Linked DNA regions of Notamacropus eugenii. The protein of the gene in region 1 interacts with the protein of each later gene in a pairwise test. Links are inferred from orthologs where the notes say so. Each region holds a gene or a part of one and is shown on either strand. Other genes may lie near its edges.

Region 1 (9,643 bases):
TTACGAAGGAAGATACTATCTACCTGCAGAGAAACAGATGACAAGTGGAAATAAGCATAATGTGGTCTTACATGTATGCATCTGATATATGTGTGTGTTTATGGATATATAGTATATGCATATACATATTTTATATGTATGGATATTTATTATGAGTACATATACATACATACATACATATATATATATATATATGTATGTATTGGAGCTTAATTGTAACCTGATGTGGGGAGGAAGGGGGAAAAATAAAGTAAAAAGTGCACAGCAGAGGACAAAAGAAAATCTATAAGGAAGCAAAGGCAGACACTGAAAATAATGTGCAGTATTTATTATATAGCTTTGCTTAAATGGAAATGTATTGCTTTATATTGAATCCTGTCTTATGTTCTGCTATGTACATGGAAATGTTTTCTTCTTATTTTGAATTTAAGCTTAAAACAAATTTTAAAACTTAATAAAAAGGAATAGAGAATGAACGAGTGAAAATATATTTAGCTATGTGCCAAGTACTGTGCTAAGCCTGAACAATACAAACAGAAAAAAAAATGAAGACAATCCCCACTCAGGATGCTCACCCGCTACTTGGGTAAGACAACATGCAAACATTTGTCAACATGTCCAAGGATCTCTTTCAAACTCTCCCTCATTTACTTCAAAGCAATTTAAAATGTTCCTGAGATAGAGTACCAGAAGATAAGATATAAAGATAAACATACCTTGCTCTTGGCCAGTTCAGAATTCATAGGTTTCATATTATTTAGAACTGAAAGGAACTTTAGAGATTCTCTTTTTTAGCCTCCTCGTTTTACAGGGAAGGAAACTGAGACCCAGAAGGAAGGGAAGCCAAAATTCAAGCCTATCCTCTAATTCCAAATCCAGTCACCGTTCTCCCTCGTTAGACTCACCTAGTCAACAGTGAGAAGAAACACCAGCAATATCATCGATAAGGGAGAGTTTTAATGCTGAATCTTATCTCCATTTCCATCTATTCACAGGTTATCTTAAACACATCCCTTAACTACAGTTTTCCTCGAGTCTCCTCTTCCAAAAGTAAACAGTTCTAATTTAGAAGACCTTTCAGGCTCCTTGTGAGCAGAAACCACTGAGGCAGTAGGAACCAGAGTTGGGCCAAAATGCAGAGAAGCGTTGTCATATGATTTGAGACCTTCTCCTCTCCAAAGAACTCACATACCACCCAAATTCCAAGATTCAGCAGAGGGATTGGAGTTAAAATGAAAATGTTAATTGGTAGTTATTACAAATTAAGGAGATTATTAACTCAATAATTCCTGGGAGGGGGGGGATGATGAAGTGGAGCAAGTTACTACACCTGAGTCTGTTTCTGTAAAATGGGGACAATTATAAAGATAAAAAATAAGGTACCCATATGTGGCTTTAAGGTTTGCAAAGCACTTTACATACATTATCTCATTTGACCCTCATCCTAAGTCTGTGAGGTGGAACTGATGTTCCTTAACCACATTTTACAAGTGAGGAAACTGAAGCTATAAGAAGCAAGGTGACTTACCCATGGTCAGACAGTAAGTATCAGAGGTAGCATCTGAAACCAGGTATTCCTACATTCAGGCAGCCTACACCTCATGAGTTCATTCCAGTATTGGCTACACCTTTGCTCATTCTCCTTGGATCATTGACCAAGTCAGGGGAATTAGAATACTACTTGCTCCCCTTTGCCACTTCCAAGATCTCTTCCTAGCTCCATCCTTCTTTTCCCTTTGAGATTCGTGCTATTCATTTCTAGAACCCAATCAAAATCCTGATAGCTGGTATCTCCAGACCCTAGGCTTACTCCCCTGCCAAGCTTTAGTCTTGGATCACTCTCACCATTCAATGTCTTCACTCCTATATATGTGCAATTGAGCAAAGAAAGAAGGAAAAATCACTCAACTATTATGATTGGGTTCACTACAAATTTATATTATACAACCTGAAATAAGCCCTCACCACTGCTAGGCAATCCTACTATACTTCCCTTATTGATTCACTATCCTACTCTCTCAAACCACCCCTAGGTTGGACTTCCCCCAACTTCTCAGCTAAGTTCCCGATATCATATTTTACAGAAAAAAAAACTGAGGCCATTTTGTCATTCAAATGGCTTCTGCCACTATCTACTCCTGCGCTTCTGTCTCACATGATGAGATGGCCTTACTTCTTACTAAAGGTAACCCTTTTTGCCTGTTTAATCAATCCCATTGCTTCCTATCTCCTCCGACAGTCATCCCCACTCTATCAGTTATTTTTAATCTCTCCCTGTCTATAGGCTCATTCCCTATGGCCTACAAATATGCCCACTTCTCTTGCATCCTCAAAAACAACAACAACCCTTGACCATCCCCTCTATCTAACCACTTTCCTTCCCTACTCTTCTTACCTGCTTACAATTCAGTTTCTGACCTTATCATTCCACTTAAACTGCTCTCTGCAAAATTACCAATCCACTGCCAAATCTAGTGGCCTTTTCCAGTCCTCAATCTCCTTGATCTCTCTGCAGCCTTTGAAAATGTTGATGACTTTCTCCATCTTAATTTCTCTTTTCTCGAGGTTTTTAGAACACTGGTCTCTCCTGGTTCTCCTTCAGCCTATCTGACTGCTCCTTCTCAGTCTCCTTTGCTGAATCCGCATCCAGATCATGACTTCTAAGGTGTGCCTGAGGTGTTCCTCCAGGTTCTGTCTCGGGCCTCTTCTCTTCTCCCTCTACACTACTATACTTGATGATCTCACCAGCTCCAGTGGATTTAATTGCTGTCTTGATGATGAGGATGATTCTCAAATCTACCTATCCTGTCCCAAACCCTCAGCTGGCCTCCAGTTTCCCATATCCAAATGCCTTTCAGACATTTCAAACTAGATGTCCTGTATACATTTTAAGCTAAAATGTCCAAAACAGAAATCATTATCTTTCCCCTTAAACCGTCCCCCTCTCTCACCTTCCCTATTACTATAGAGAGCAACACAATCTTCCTAGTCCCTCAGGCTCCCAACCTAGAAGTTATCATGGACTCCTCACTATCTCTCCCTCCCTGTAACCAATCTGTTAACAAAGTCTATGGATTTTGACTTTGTAGTACCAGTGGTATATGCCTCTTTCTGATACTGCTACCACTCTAATGGAGGCCATCATCCCTTCATGCCTGGATTATGCAATGGCCTGCCTGCTGGTGGGTCTATCTGCCTCAAATCTCTCTCCACTCCAATCCATCCTCTTTTCAGTCACCAAAGTGATTTTCCTAAAGAGTAGGTGCAACCAAGACACTCCCCTACTCTATAAATATCATTAGCTCCCTATCACCTCCGAGATCAAAATCAAAATGTTCTGGGCATTCAAAACCCTTCATAAACTCAATGTTTTCTACCATTTCAGTCTTCTTCCACCTTACTCCCCCCACCAGGTATACTTTGATTCAGTGACACTGGCCTCCTGGCTGTTCCACAGACAAGACCCCTCATCTCTTGGCTGGAGTATTTTCTCTGGCTGTCATCCATGTCTGGGATGCTCTCTCTCTTCAACTCCACCCACTGATTTCCCTGATTTCCTTTAAGTCCCAACTGAAATCCCATTTTTACAGGAAGTCTCTCCCAATGCCTCTAAATTCTAGTGGCTTCCATTTCTTAATTATTTCCTATTTACCTTGCATATAGCTTTGTATATATTTGCTTACATGTTGCATCCTCCATTAGATTATAAGCTCCTGGAAAGCAGGGACCATCTTTTGCCTTTTTTTGCATCTCCAGTGCTTAACATAATGCTTGGTACATAGGAGCTGTTTAATAAATATTGACTGACATAGATTGAGAACTTTGAGGGATCTTAGAAACCATCTAATCTCATTTTCTCAAGGAATTTACAATCATTTGGGAGAAATAAGTCCAACTCATAACACAGCTAATGATTTACTATCATGTATAATTATGTACCAAAGTAGATGGTACAGACCATAAGTATATTCCAGCATTATGCACATTATCAATACTCAATAAGTGATGTGGGTTGACATACTTTAAACGTGAGCATTGCACAATAAATGGCATATATTTGAATGCCAATGCCTGGGAGAAAAGTTTTTAGCATAAAAATGTCCAACAGACGCCTCCATCAGTGATTCTCACTATGAGAATAAATCTTGATAGCTTTTTCAGTAAAAAACAATACATTTTGATTGATTGACAATGCTTGAAAGTGTTTTGTGCCCTTTCCATACACATAGGCTATTATTCTGGCCACTACTACCAGTAATAATAATTGTGATAGATACTGAATCTCTGATTCCATTGATACAGAGAACTCCCTTTGCCAATGCAGGTAATACCTTCTCTTCAACTTTGCCTTCCAGGTTAAATGACTTGACCTGGGTCACATTCAATACATGCCTTAGGCAGGATTTAAAACCTATAGATTTTAGCTTCTGAACTATCCTACCTATAAGGATGATGATGATGATGATGGTGGTGGCGGTGATGATGGTGGTGATGGTGGTGATGATGGTGATGGTGGTGGTGATGATGATGGTGGTGGTGGTGGTGGTGGTGATGGTGGTGGTGATGATAATGATGGTGGTGGTGATGATGATGGTGGTGGTGGTGGTAGTAGTGGTGGTGATGATGGTGGGGATGATGGTGGTGGTGGTGGTGGTGGTGGTGATGATGATGATGATGATGGCGGTGGTGGTGGTAGTAGTGGTGGTGATGATGGTGGTAGTAGTGGTGGTGATGATGGTGGGGATGATGGTGGTGGTGGTGGTGGTGGTGATGGTGGTGATGATGATGGTGGGGATGATGGTGATGGTGGTGGTGGTGGTGATGGTGGTGATGATGGTGGTGGTGGTGGTTTTTTACTAGAAAAAGCCAGGATCTAATCCAGTCTTTGGGCTGGACCTTGGGCAAGTCACTCAAGGCTCTTGGCCACTCTCTGAGATGACAGCTGTCAGAGAAGGTGCCAACCTGCCTCGGTGGATGGAGTTTCCTCTTTCGGCAGTTCCCTGCATCAGTCATATCACAGTCCCTGTCACTATCGCCAATAAATTTATCAGTCACCAGCTGGGGGTTTTCTAAGGAAGCTGACACAGGACTCCTTGGAGGTCAGAAAAAGGTTTGAGAGAACGGGGTACTTTTGGGTGGAGGTGGGTGGGGGGTCCCAATGAGGCACCTTGGTGACGATGCAGAATCACGGGCTGGGGCTTCGGTGAGGAGCAGGGAGAAGGGGGTGCTGCGGTCCAGCACGTCCCAATCCCCCCGTGGGGCTGAAATCCGGGAGAGCTCCGCATCTCGGCCCGGGTCTGCCTCCTGGGGGGTGTGGCTACGGGGCACCGATGGCTGGGGAGCCCGGACGGAGGAGGCGAAGGCACCGTGACACCCCCTGCCCCCGCCCGGGATTCCTGGACAACTCCCTCGAGCACCGAGGGCCCTTCCCGAGCAAGCGGCCCCCGGACGCCCCCGGGGAGGCAGTCATCGGCGGGGGCGGAACCGAGGCCTTTCTTTCCACGTTTCCCCCTCCCTCCGCTTTTTTGTTCTTCTCCAAAGTAGGTGATTTTTGTTTTTATTTTTTGAAGAAAAACGACGGCGAAAAAAAAAGAACCGTCTTCATTCCCATCACCGCGATTTCCACATGGACATGACGTCCGGCCGGCGCTTCCGAAATGCCCAGGTTGAGTCACGCGGGGACAACCCCGGCTTTGAAAGGGTGAGGAATTTTTCGGGCCCCCCGGGCCCCTGCGGGAGCCCCCTGGTGGCCGGCGGTGCGCGGCCTGCCCGGGGCAGAGCCCTTTGCACCCGCGCCCGCCCCGGTCCGAGTGCTCTGCAGAGAGCCGCCGCTGGGCGTCACAGTCACATGTCGGAAAGTCCCAGCGCCCAGGCTGGAAATCCCCGGGCTCATATATTATTACCCTGGCTAAAAGAAAGGAAAAAGGAGAACTGGCGCAGTCGTTCTAGGATCTAGGCTCTAGGATCTAGGATCTAGGCTAGGAGCCGGCGGGGGTGGAGCAGCTGGGAGAGCAGGCCGGCGGCGGAGGAGGAGAGTCCTAGTCCGGGAGCGGTGACGGCAGTGGAGGCGGCCGGAGGCCGGCCCGGCCGGACTTAGCGCAGCCGAGCCCCAGGCTGCCTGCCTGCCTGCCTGCCCATGGAGCGCCCCGCCGCTACGACCTTCACGTCGGCCCCGGGCCTGCTCGTGCACTAAATATTCGGGACTTTGGCGTTTCGTTGGGAGCTCGCTCGCTGCTGCTTCGCCAAGGTAACCCCGACCTACCTCTGCGCCCCCAAACCTTGCAGGGGAGTGGGCGCGATCCGGCCGCACGAGGGTGGCACGGACCTTGACCCCTGGCTTGCAGCTTGTGGTGGTGATGGGGCGGGGAGGGGAGGAGGGCAGGCCGGGGCGGGGGGCGCCTCCGGATCCCCCCGAAGGGCTGCGCCTTTAAGATGAATTAGAGATCGTGCGGAGACCTTTAGCTGCAAAGGGACGGAACGTTAGCTAGAGTCGTGGAAGCGCCGACTTTAGAAGCTAGCAATTAGAAGTCACGCAGGGGGATTCCACCTTGTCCGCCCAGGGCCACGGAGAGCGCGGAGAACGCGGCATTCCCCGCGGTGCAGAGCGCAGAGGCGGAGGACGCTGCGGCGCGCCCCCGGGCCGCGCCTCCCCGGGCCGCGCCTCCCCGGGGCCTTGGCGGACGGGGTCGGCTTCTTGGCTTTCTAAAGCTCCGCAGACGCTGAAAGCCCTGCCCCCCCCAGCCCTGGTCAGCCAGCTTCGCCGGGCTGGCTTGTCCCACATCCTGCCACCTGGCCTCTTCAGGACGGCCGGGGCATGAAGGACTGGCCTGAGGCCGGAGCCCGCTGCCTGCAGCTCTCTTCTCCTAGGGAAACCAGGCTGATAAAGGGCTTCAGAAGCTGGCTGTCCTTCCCCTCGATGGAAGCCCTGAAGTCTTGAGACATGAACAGGGAAAGATTTAAGAGATGATGACACAGATCTTTAACACTGGAAGGAAAGAAAAGAGTGATTGCTTTGGGGGAAACTGAGGCACAGTGCTGCATGTATGAAGCAATTGTTGAACCCGTGCTAAGGGTAAGGCGTCGTGCTGGCTGCTCTAAAGGATCCAAAGACCAGGTTGTGGGCCAGTCAGTGATGCAGATATTCTAGTCTAATGCACCGGACCTTGCCTCCAGCAGTTTGGGGAATTTAAGGCTTTGGAGGAGTGCTTTCCAGAATGGAATTGGGGTTTTCGTTGATACAGTTCACAGATTTCCATCTCGCATGCCAAAGCACCTGTGCAAAATGGAAAAAGAAAAAGAAAAACCAAAAGGAAAAAAGAGGAGGCTTCTAGATATGAATAACTTCTAAAGAATTTTGTAGTTCCCAGTGACAGAATTTGGGGAAATTTTTGTGAAATGAGTCAAAGAAATATTACAAAACATCACCTTTTTTTTTTTACATATTCATAAGACTATTTTCTTGTCTTCTACAAGTGTATAACCATCTGTTTTTAGAAATGTTTACTCCGTGGCCCCATCTGGAGTGAGGTCTAAGAACTGGAAATTTGGAAGGGGGTATTTTTGTTTGTTTCAGTGGGTAGTTTTTGGAGGATGAAGGACTGCGGTAAATGGTTGAGTTGGTTCATGTTCTCGAATATTGATGTTAAGATGGGTTTGTGTGGATGTATTTTGGCTCTCACAATTTAAGGAAGACCTCTGGGACTAGAAGAAGCAGTGAATAAAAGGGTGATTCATTCTTCACATGTTTTCAGGACTCTTTAAAGGCCTTTTTATGGTGACCCATTTTTAAGTGATCTAAGATTTACAAAACATTTCACTCAGAGCCATTCTGTCAGGGAGGTCATGTAAGTGTTAAGTCTTCCTTTTTTATAGATGAAGTTAAGATCCAAATAGTGCAAGTGATTTGCCAGGATGCAAGCCAAGACCTCCTCTCTCCAAGGGATTTAGTGCTGCCCATCTTATTTCCCTCGAAGGTTAGAGTTTTATAAACATGTTTCTGATGGAGAAATCAAGGACATTTTGAAAGACCACACTTGCAGCCTTCAGTCTCCCTGCTATCGAGAGAGAAAAACACTTTAACATTTGGCTGAGGGAAGGAAAAATTATTCACCTGAAATCACATATAGCAATGTCAAATTGAAATTGAAGTCATTGAAAAAAATTCCACTAGAGAAAAACCTTTTACATTTTTTATAATAATAATAATGAAAGAAGTGTCAGGGTTCATAGTGATCACCATAATTTGAAATCCTATAGGGTAGCAGATGTCTACATTACTTAATACCTTATGCATTATGATAGGCCAAAGTAGCAAGCAAGGATCTCAGCATCCCTAAGATATATGTATATTTGCCTTGGAAGGTAGGTTAGCTTTCAGCCTTGGAAGAGTGCTGTGAAAAGGCTTTCTTGATACAGTACCAGAGCCAACTCATTCTTGATGCATATCTTTGTCACCTTGAAGGTTCAGGAGTCATATAAAGAAAGGGAGATACTTTGAGACTACCTGGGGAAATACCGGGATAATTGGGAAATGTTTGGGGATTTTCATTGTCTTTTTTTTTTTTTTTTTTTTAGTAATATGTGATGATAGGAAAAGGAAGCAATGAAAACACCTGGTGCTTGCACCACTATGACTCGTTAGCCAAAATGGGTTTGGTAGCTAGAACCTAAAATCACCCTAGCTAGAAGATAATCTCTGCTGGCCTCCCTGCTTCTCCATATTTCTTATGTTTTGCTCTTTCCATTTCCTCTTCATGGCCCTCATTTTCCTGTACTGTTTGATTAGGTGTGAAGGCCCCTGGGGGGTGAAAAAGAGAGCCAGTAGTTGGCATCTGGAGTACCAGCTTTTATTGATTTGGAGATGAATAATAATTGAACTCCAATTCTAACTATTACAGTTGCTTAATTCTTATAGACCAGTGTGTCACCTGAGGGATCCTGGGGACCTTCTGAAGCATTATTGACTGCCTACTCTGTATACCAATTTTTAGTATATTAGAAATTTAATCTCCTTGAAAGTAGGAATTGTTGCTTTCATCGAACTTTTTTATTCCCAACACCTAGCATCATGCCCAGCAAATAATAAATACTTGTTGTTTGACTGATCAGGAAGATGGTTTGGCATATTGAATAAAGTTACAAGACTGGGGAGTCAGGAAGATTCCTTGGCTCTTGTGCTCCCTGACTGTGCACCTTGAGCAAATCATTTAACCTAGTTCCTCTTCCTCAGTTTCCTCATCTATAATATGGAGGCTAATAATACTTCTAATAATAAGAGCATCACTTCATGGGAGTATTTCTAAGCTCCAGAGAAATATAAGTGGAGGTAGAAGACAGTCTGGTACAGTGGAAAGGCTTTAGACTCAGGACCTAGGTTTAAATCCTCCCTGAGTCACTACTTATGTGATTGTGGGCAAGTCACTTACTTAACTCTCTAGGCCTCAGTTTCCTCATCTCTGAAGGGAAGGGGTTGGACTAAATGGCCTATCTAAGGTTTCCCTCCCACCCAACTCTAAATCTATAATGAAAAAAAGAAATTCTAAAAAATAAAATATGTTATGGCTTATATATTCTTCTAGTTTAATGTACTTGACTCTGCCTCCAGCAGTTCTTGGTATACAATATGGGAATTTTACAGTTTTGG
Region 2 (9,643 bases), on another chromosome or scaffold:
TTGTTCTGGCTGATTAATAAATGCTTTGTATTGATTAATGGACCTTGGTTGGATCGCAAGAAGAGAGGGGGAGGGGGCTGTTGGTTCTAGGGTTGGTTCTGTATATGGTCCTGGGGAAATGAGACCCTGTAAGGATAGAATAGTATGGACATCAGGCCCAAGAGAAGGGCTGCTGGGGAGCCTGCACCACTCACCTTACCTTGGCTTCCCTGTCCTATGTGAGGCCTAGAAAAGGAAATAGGATTGAGGTTAGAAAACCAGGCTGTTCCTTCCCCACTGAAGCTGCAAAGTGAGGCCCACATCATAATTACTATTGCATTCCAGCTTTCCTGGGAGATTGGATGGAGGCAGCTTCCCTCTGCTCACCCTGAACCACAGCAGCAGACATGGTGAGCTGGAAGGGGCCACAGCAACAGTTTGGCTGGATGTCTCCATTTTACAGGTGTGGAAAATGAGTCTCAGGGAGGTCACAGAGAGACTTTCATGAGGCCCCACAAGCAGCAAAACTGGGATTTGAACCCAAAGTCTTCTAGGTCCATATTTCTGTCTTCTTCCAAGGCACCACACTGCTTCCCATGGCAACTGTGACGGAATCATTCGGTAACTGAGAAAAATTGCTGGAGGTGTTGGTGTGCTTTGGGTAATACTTTGGATGGCTGTCAGCATCTCTGCAATCAGCCCCCTTCTCTTCTCTGACCCTGCTCCCACCCAGCGGCCCCCAACACTGACCACCTGGGCTACGGCCCAAGCTGCAGGGCTGCCTCCCTAATCTCTCCCCCTCTAGTCCAGCCTCCATTCAGCCACTAAACTGAAGTCTGACCTGGACACTCCCCTGTTCAACAAGCTCCAGTGGCTCCCTAGGGCCTCCAGAATAAAATCTAATCAAATCCTGTTTGCTATTCAAAGTCCTACATCACCTGCCTCATGCCCACTGCCTATTACTCCCCTCCAAGTACTCTGGAACCCGGTCCTGTTGGTTTCTAGCACAGAATGTCAGGGTTGAGAGGGGCCTCAGAATAGGGGATGTCAGGGCTGGGAGGGGCCTTAGAACAGGGGAGGTCAGGGCTGGGAGGGGTCTCAGAACAGGGGGTGTCAGGGCTGGAGGGGCCTGAGAACAGGGGGTGTCAGGGCTGGAGGGACCTCAGAACAGGGGGTGTCAGGGCTGGGAGGGGCCTCAGGCCAGGGGAGGTCAGGGCTGGAGGGGCCTCAGAACAGGGGGTGTCAGGGCTGGGAGGGGTCTCAGAACAGGGGGTGTCAGGGCTGGAGGGGCCTCAGAACAGGGGGTGTCAGGGCTGGGAGGGGCCTCAGGCCAGGGGGGGTCAGGGCTGGAGGGGTCTCAGAACAGGGGGTGTCAGGGCTGGAGGGGTCTCAGAACAGGGGGTGTCAGGGCTGGGAGGGGTCTCAGAACAGGGGGTGTCAGGGTTGGGAGGGGCCTTAGAACAGGGGATGTCAGGGCTGGGAGGGGCCTCATACCAGGGGAGGTCAGGGCTGGGAGGGGTCTCAGAACAGGGGGTGTCAGGGCTGGAGGGGCCTCAGGCCAGGGGGGGTCAGGGCTGGAGGGGCCTCAGGCCAGGGGGGTCAGGGCTGGAGGGGCCTCAGGCCAGGGGAGGTCAGGGCTGGAGGGGCCTCAGAACAGGGGAGGTCAGGGCTGGAGGGGTCTCAGGCCAGGGGAGGTCAGGGCTGGAGGGGTCTCAGGCCAGGGGGTGTCAGGGTTGGGAGGGGCCTTAGAACAGGGGATGTCAGGGCTGGGAGGGGCCTCATACCAGGGGAGGTCAGGGCTGGAGGGGCCTCATACCAGGGGAGGTCAGGGCTGGAGGGGCCTGAGAACAGGGGGTGTCAGGGCTGGAGGGGTCTCAGAACAGGGGATGTCAGGGCTGGGAGGGGGCTCAGAACAGGGGGTGTCAGGGCTGGGAGGGGTCTCAGAACAGGGGGTGTCAGGGCTGGAGGGGTCTCAGAACAGGGGGTGTCAGGGCTGGAGGGGTCTCAGAACAGGGGGTGTCAGGGCTGGAGGGGTCTCAGAACAGGGGGTGTCAGGGCTGGAGGGGCCTCAGAACAGGGGGTGTCAGGGCTGGAGGGGCCTCAGGCCAGGGGAGGTCAGGGCTGGGAGGGGTCTCAGAACAGGGGGTGTCAGGGCTGGAGGGGGCTCAGAACAGGGGGTGTCAGGGTTGGGAGGGGCCTCAGAACAGGGGGTGTCAGGGTTGGGAGGGGCCTCAGAACAGGGGGTGTCAGGGCTGGAGGGGGCTCAGAACAGGGGGTGTCAGGGCTGGAGGGGTCTCAGAACAGGGGGTGTCAGGGCTGGAGGGGTCTCAGAACAGGGGGTGTCAGGGCTGGAGGGGTCTCAGAACAGGGGGTGTCAGGGCTGGAGGGGTCTCAGAACAGGGGGTGTCAGGGCTGGAGGGGCCTCAGAACAGGGGGTGTCAGGGCTGGAGGGGCCTCAGGCCAGGGGAGGTCAGGGCTGGGAGGGGTCTCAGAACAGGGGGTGTCAGGGCTGGAGGGGGCTCAGAACAGGGGGTGTCAGGGCTGGGAGGGGCCTGAGAACAGGGGGTGTCAGGGTTGGGAGGGGCCTCAGAACAGGGGGTGTCAGGGCTGGAGGGGGCTCAGAACAGGGGGTGTCAGGGCTGGAGGGGTCTCAGAACAGGGGGTGTCAGGGCTGGAGGGGTCTCAGAACAGGGGGTGTCAGGGCTGGAGGGGCCTCAGAACAGGGGGTGTCAGGGCTGGAGGGGTCTCAGAACAGGGGGTGTCAGGGCTGGAGGGGCCTCAGAACAGGGGGTGTCAGGGCTGGGAGGGGGCTCAGAACAGGGGGTGTCAGGGCTGGAGGGGTCTCAGAACAAGGGGTGTCAGGGCTGGGAGGGGGCTCAGAACAGGGGGTGTCAGGGCTGGAGGGGGCTCAGAACAGGGGGTGTCAGGGCTGGAGGGGGCTCAGAACAGGGGAGGTCAGGGCTGGAGGGGCCTGAGAGATGCTCGGCAGCAGAGTGTCTCCCTCGGTCTTGTCCAGGACCCCTCGGGCAGTGCGTGAAGCCCATGGGCCCTTCTCGGGGCACGAGAAGCCTGTTCTTACTGAAGTCCTTTAACACCCACATATACATGCACGTACATCTCACTGTAACATTGTAACTATCATCATAACCCTCTATTACATATATTACACACAGATAGAGAACAGCCATCTGTAGCTCTCGCCCGCCCTGCGGTGGGGGCAGGGCTCCGGCCAAGGTTAGCAGAGCAGGGCGGCTCCCGGCCCCCCGCCGAGCGCTCCCGCTCCGCAGTCCCCGCCCCTCCAGGCTCCCACCTCCACCTTTGCCGCACCAAACTGCACCACGGACAGGGCGCATGCGTCCGGCTCGGCTCCGGCCGGGCGGGGCCGCGGAGAGCGCGGAGGCGCTATTTCTAGCGGGTGACGTCACCCAGAAGTCGCCCTTCTGGGCGGGCCCGCCCGCCCTCCCCCTCTCCCCGTGGGCGGGGCTCCGCGCCGGCGGGCCGGGCGGTGCGCACTGCGCAGGCGCACAGGGCGCGCCCGCCGCCTCCCGCCCGCGGCCCTGCCCCCGAGCCGGCCCCTCCTCCTGCTCCCCGCCCCTCCCGCCCGGCCGCGGCAGCCTCAGCCTGGCTTCGGCGGCGGCAGCAGCGCCAGCCCGTCAGAGCAGCGGCGGCGGCGGCGGCGCGAGCCTCCCTCTCCTCGCCCTCCGCTCCCTCGCCTCGGCCCCGCGCTCTCCCCGTCGGGCCGCGGCCCCAGCCCGGGAGCCGCCCGAGCCGAGCCGGAGCCGCCCGAGGCGCGGGCGCACGTGGCCGAGGAGCCCAGCCCAGGCCGGCCGGGCCTGACGAGGAGCCGCGGGGCGGCGGCGGCGGAGCGGCCCGAGCGGGCGGCGGGAGCGGCGGCATGGGGGACCGGGAGCAGCTGCTGCAGCGCGCGCGGCTGGCCGAGCAGGCGGAGCGCTACGACGACATGGCCTCCGCCATGAAGGCGGTGAGTGCGCGTGCGCGGGCGGCGGGGGCGCGCGGGGCGGCCGGGAGCGCGCGGGAGGGGCGGGGGCGGGGGCGGGCTGGGCCCCCCGCGGAGGCCCGGGGTCGTTTGCTGCGGGTCCGCAGCCCGCGCTCCCTGCCCCCCGATGCCCCTCCCGCCCAGGCTCAGCCCCCAGCGCATCCCCCTCCGTGCCCCCCGCCTTGGGACGCTCCCGGAGGTCCCTGAGCCCGGGCTGGGGGAGGGGCGGCCGGCCGGGCCGAGCCCGCCTTTGGCAGGCCTTGGCGCCCTGTCACCCCGCTGCTGCCCCTGTACCCCAGCGGGGGCCCTCAGGTTTGAGGTGCCACTTGGTGTCTGCGGGGGGCTGCAGCTGGCCACGCCCTGCCTGGGGTCCCCCGCGGTGCGTGCATCCCCCTTGGTCCGGCTCTCCGCGGTGCTGCGAGCCCAGCCGTGCCCAGAAGAGGGTTCCCGCACCCGCCTCTTCGGGGGGCCCAGAGAACTGGGAGTCCTCCCTGTCCTCACGTGCCGGCCCTCCGCCTGGCCTGTAGAGGTGCTCGGGGGCAGCGCCCCCAGCCCGGGCACGCGGGTTTGGGGCATCTTAGAGCCGGAGGAGACTCAGTCCTTAAGCACTTACGAAGTGCCCACTGTGTGCCCTGGGGGCACAAAAAGGGGAAAGACAGGCCCTGTCCTCGGGAGCTCCTAACCTGCTGGCCTCTGCCCGGGGCAGAGGTGGGGGCTCCTCCCTGGGTGTGTCTGCCCCATCACCATCTTTCCCCAGGTTCTCCTGCCCTCCCTCTTCCCAGGCCCCCCATTGGTGACCTTGGCATCCCCCTTGACTGTGCCCAAGCCTTGGCTCCCTGCTGGTGGTGACACACCCTGGCTCCAGCCTCCCTGGCGCTTCTGGGAGCCCCCCCAGTCCGACTCCCACCTGCCTCCCATGCTCTACCCTGGGCACCCCCGTCCCTGGCTGTACCCCACCTTCTGCATCAGCTTCCGCCATTGGGGAATTGATCATTGTTCAGTCTGGCCTTCTTACTGAAGTAGTTGTGAGAGAACTGGGCTTCCTCTCACTGACCACCTAGAAGACCCCCCAGCTCTTCTCTCCCTTTTCCCCACCCCCTAAAGCCGCCCAGAGCCTCCATCTTCTTTTGAGACTTGGTTCTTCTGAAAACCCTCCTGGTCTTGGAGACCAGACTTCTTCCTTCCCAAATTATCTTGTATTTCATTATCAGGATGTTGGCACTTTGATGCGTCAGAGGGCAGGCCCCGTTTCAGTTTGTGTCTTTGTGGGTAAGGGGCCCCGCACACACATGGTAGTAGGTGCCTCCGGTGTGGGTCTGAATGGAGGCAGCCCTTTCCGTTGTCGGACACCTCTTATTGTTTGGTGGCTGTCTTACTCTGAATGGCCTGCCGCTTAGAGCTCTCCACCCCAGCTCTGTGGGCTGGCAGCCTGTGGTGAGCGGTTTGCTGAGGGGCTTTGGGGCTGTATGGATTTCATCTTTTTTTTCCACATGATAAAATGTCACACTGCAGACAGGGACCTTTCTAGGGCTGATGCTCTGGTGTCGGATTTAGGGGCTCTTCCCCCTTTCCTGTGGGAATCCTTGATCCCACAAGGTCTGAAGAGAATGCCCAGTGGTCAGAAGGAGGGTGAAACTGTTCAAGGGAGCCCAGAGGGAGGGGCTGGGTTGGGAGTTCAGGTGTGGCTCTGCTGGTGACCAAGGTGACCTTGGGCAGGTCCCTGACTTTCCCTGAGCCCCAGTGTCCAAAGCTGCAGAGTGGAAGTTAGGAGGAGGGGGCAGGGCTAGAATACTCAACTCTCTTAGCTTTAACATATTGTGATTTTAAGAGGGCAGGAAAATGAAGGCAGGATCACCCAAGCAGAGATTGAAGACGCCTGAAAGACCACCCCACCTGTGCCCTTAGTTTCAGTCTGAGGCCTCAAGAGGTTGAGGGCTGTGTTCAAGGTCACACAGAGGCAGGACCTGAACACAGGGCCACTCTGGCTCCAGAATCTTTTGAGAAACTGACTGAATGGGGATAGCATTTGGGATTTCCCAGGCCCCTGACAGACATTTGAGGGCTCTAGAACATTGAGTGCTGTTTGGAAAGCAGAAAGAATGGGACCCCACATCCTCCTCACAAGAAGATGGAGGACCCCACCCTGCAAGCCTGATCCTATTACTCAGCAGTTTTGTAAGGAGGCTTTAATTTAGCTTCTTGCAGATTAATGGGCCCGTCACTGTCCTGGGAATAGTCTTCCTCCGAGATGATTGATTTTTTTTTTTTTGGACAAGTCATTCCAGTTATTCAAACGTCACTTTTCCCAGGATGATTCTGTTCTGTGCATTGCTTTAACATGATGCCCTATTTTTCCGTTTTCTGAATTCTGAGTTATTTCAGTTTTTTCCTAGTCAAATTACTGGGGGGATATTCATTGGAAAGAACTTGGGGAGCAGTAGACAACATATCCCCCTATTTATAAAATACATACTATTAGGGCATTCAGATGGATAGAGTGCTGGGCCTGGAGTTAGGGAGACCTGAGTTCAAATCCAACCTCAGACGGTCGCTGTGTGACCCTGGGCAAGCCACTTGACCGTGTTTGCCTCAGTTTCCTTCTCTGTAAAATGGGCTGGAAAAGGAAATGGCAAAACCACTCCAGTATCCATGCCAAAAAAAACCTCCAAAGGGGTCCTGAAGAGCCCAACAAAACTGAACAACAACAAATACATACCTTCGGGGAAGCGTCGGATGTGGACAACATCCTCACATTGGTGCCCTTGATTTCTTGTTTGTTTCCAGTTTTTGGATTTGTTCCTTGGTTGGAGTCATTACCAACCAGAGGGATCCTCTAGTTAAATTTTGAAGCAGCATAGGTGCATTTCAGACATTGGTGTCCAGATCATTCAGTAAAACAGACTTTTCCTTCCATCCATGATAGTGGTAGCTAGAGAAGGAACAATCCTGAGCTTTCTCTGTGGCCTTAACTTAGGTCCAGGCTTATTTTCTGTTCACGGAAGACAAGAGTGGTTCAGTTCAGTGAGAAGAGTGCTAGATGGAAGGTCAGAGGCCCTGGGTTCCAGTACTGTGTGACCTTGGGAAAACCACTTTACCTCAGTTTTCTCATCTGTAACATGAAGTTTTATTGGATGACCTTGGAGGGCCTTTACAGTTTGAAATCTGGGGATGGGAGTGTGCAGTTAACCCACTGACAAAGAATTAGAATAGGTAAGAGACTTGGATTTGGGAGTCAGGAGACCTGGGTTCAAGTGTTGACTCACACTTGGCGTGGTACCTTAGATAAGATCATATTTGATCTTATCCTATCTGCTTATTCTATCTGCCTCCCCTTCCCCCAGATTGAAAGCTAAAAGGGGGTGCCCTTTTGAAAAATGCTGTGGGAAATTTGCAATGGTTGTGTTCTGATAAAACTGGGAAGTTATGGAAGGTTTTTAATATTTAAGGAACTGAAGGGAGCAGACCTCTAATCAAGTTAAGGGTGATTATCCAAGATGGAAAGTGTTAATGGACAGCTAATTCCCATTGCCCAAGATTGCTCATTTTAAATTAGAATTGAGAAATGGGCATAGATTTGTATGAAATTACAAAAGCCAGTCAGAATTTACCGGAGGCAGTGTATCAGGCTGTGTCTCAAACTGGTTGTAGGTTGCACATGTATGAAGGCTGGAGAAGTTGGAATCTCTTGAGGTCTTAAAACCAAGAAATGGGAGGCACTTGAGGAAGAAGCCAGAGAGGAAGAGACCCTTGTGGGCTCAGCTGGGGCCATGAGGCTCTTGGCCCAACAGCTGGAGACAGATCATGTGACAGCAGATGAAGCAAGTGGTGTATGCACTGGGGGAGTGAGGACAGAAGCCAGCGGGGAATGCTGAGCTGCAGAAGGCACCAGTGAGGCCTTTGCACGCTGGCTGAAGCCTTGATCCTTGACTCCTGAAGGTCTGGAGCCATGTGCCTGAAACATTCTAGAAGAAAGGCTGTGAGTGAGCCCCACTTCCTACTGGCCAGTGCAGAAGGAGGGCTATAATGGCAGCTTTGTCCTGTATCTTAGGAGATCTGAGCTGGCTCTTCTTTTTTTTCACTCTCTCAAGTTGCCTGAGTTGAAAACTGGTGAGAAAGTACGATCCTCTCACCAGCGAGTGGCCTGCCTGGCAAGAGTGATGGGACCTCAGGCCCTGGGGTCTTTTTCACCTCCAGTCAGTGGAGTAGTTTAGCTTTCTCCCTTCCTGCTTTTCCTTCCATTATATAAATTCTTTTTGTTCCCCCTTGAGGAAACTCACCTACAATTACAATACTCAAAACTGACTTGTTTTCCCCTTTCGTTGGGGATTTATAATAATTATAACTGGCATTTAGATAGCCCTTTAAGATTTATAATATTGTCTCATTTGATCCTCACAAGAGCCCAGGGGAAGAAAGTGCTGTTATTATCCACAATTTTTGCAGCTGAGGAAACAAACAAGGGTTAAATGACTTGCCCTGAGTCATTAAACTAGTAAGTGTCTGAGGCAAGATTTGAACTCAGATCTTCTTCACTCCAGCCTTGGTGGTAGGTTTCACATTGGTTAATTTATGTCCTACCCCCAGTGCCTGAATTTCATGCCTTGTGTGTAGGATCCACTAAATTTAGACCTGGGAACTCTTAAGTTTGTGTATTAAAAGTAAAGCCACACCTCATATCCACATGGTAGGACACCGTTCATACTTTTCTGATAGCTGATCAGTTGTTAGGTAAGTACACACTTGAACTTCACATGTGTTGACCCTGCTTCAGGGTCCCTGTTAACTGTAAGACTACATTCAGTCAAATGTCCTTGTACTATTTGGAAACACTTTCTTGGTCTCATATATGCTAGAGTTTTAAACAAAGGAGTCCATACTCAGTCATACGTTACAGCTACTAGGACCTGAAGCCCCTAATGTGACTGCTTCTGCTTACCTTTGTCTTTTATCTGAAGTGATGACCTTTGACATAGATGTATAAGCATGGCCTTAAATTTCTAATTGTTCTTCCTGGTTTCCTTTATGTAATCACAGCAGCACAACTTACCAGCTCTAGTTTACCGTGTGGAGGGGGTCAGAAATTGGTCTGTTGTTGGACGATTCTGACCTGACAGATTGTGTGCGCTTTGTCCTTCACAGTCTCACAGAGGACCATGACTTCAGGGAGGGGATGCCATGACATGTAAGGGAATTGGATTTAAGTGAGGTAGGGCTGTGCAGAGTCACTGGCCTCACTTGCTCCTCTGGAGCCATCTGGGTCCAGTGGCCAGATACAGAATAGGATAATGGAGCAATTCCACAGGACTGGACCTGGAAGCAGTCACAGGCCTCATCTGCCTCTTAGTTCTTTACTTCAAAAAAATCTTTTTAGGCCTTTAAAATTTATTTTTAGAATTTTTATTGATGTCCGTTGTTTTTCAGCCACCTACCTCATCCTTTCTCAGATCACAAAAGTAATTGATAGATCAGCCAGTTGAGAAAATCTGTGGAGCAAATGCCTTTCCCCCTCCGCTTCTCTTGCAGGGAGTGGAGAAGTGTGTTTTCACTATTCCTCTTCCTTCCAGTTACATTATTGGAGTTCTTATTCATTTTGCATCAGTCAATAGAAATCTTCTCATGATTCTCTCTCCAAATCCCCTTTTCTTGTAGATTGGCCATGTTCCATTA

What was found.
Region 2: the proteins of TNFAIP3 (region 1) and YWHAH interact in a two-hybrid assay, tested with the Homo sapiens proteins (2 studies listed by BioGRID). The link is inferred for Notamacropus eugenii from reciprocal best matches to the Homo sapiens genes TNFAIP3 and YWHAH.

What each region holds. Positions count from the first base shown.
Region 1 is NC_092873.1:224,323,342-224,332,984, forward strand, and holds the start of TNFAIP3 (tumor necrosis factor alpha-induced protein 3), read left to right. Parts: upstream 1-5,319; 5' UTR 5,320-5,626; coding exon 5,627-5,701; intron 5,702-5,768; exon of another isoform or gene 5,769-6,247; intron 6,248-6,699; exon of another isoform or gene 6,700-7,039; coding exon of another isoform or gene 7,040-7,072; intron 7,073-9,643. UniProt on the Homo sapiens protein: Ubiquitin-editing enzyme that contains both ubiquitin ligase and deubiquitinase activities.
Region 2 is NC_092875.1:13,205,276-13,214,918, reverse strand, and holds the start of YWHAH (14-3-3 protein eta), read left to right. Parts: upstream 1-3,581; 5' UTR 3,582-3,874; coding exon 3,875-3,961; intron 3,962-9,643. UniProt on the Homo sapiens protein: Adapter protein implicated in the regulation of a large spectrum of both general and specialized signaling pathways. Binds to a large number of partners, usually by recognition of a phosphoserine or phosphothreonine motif.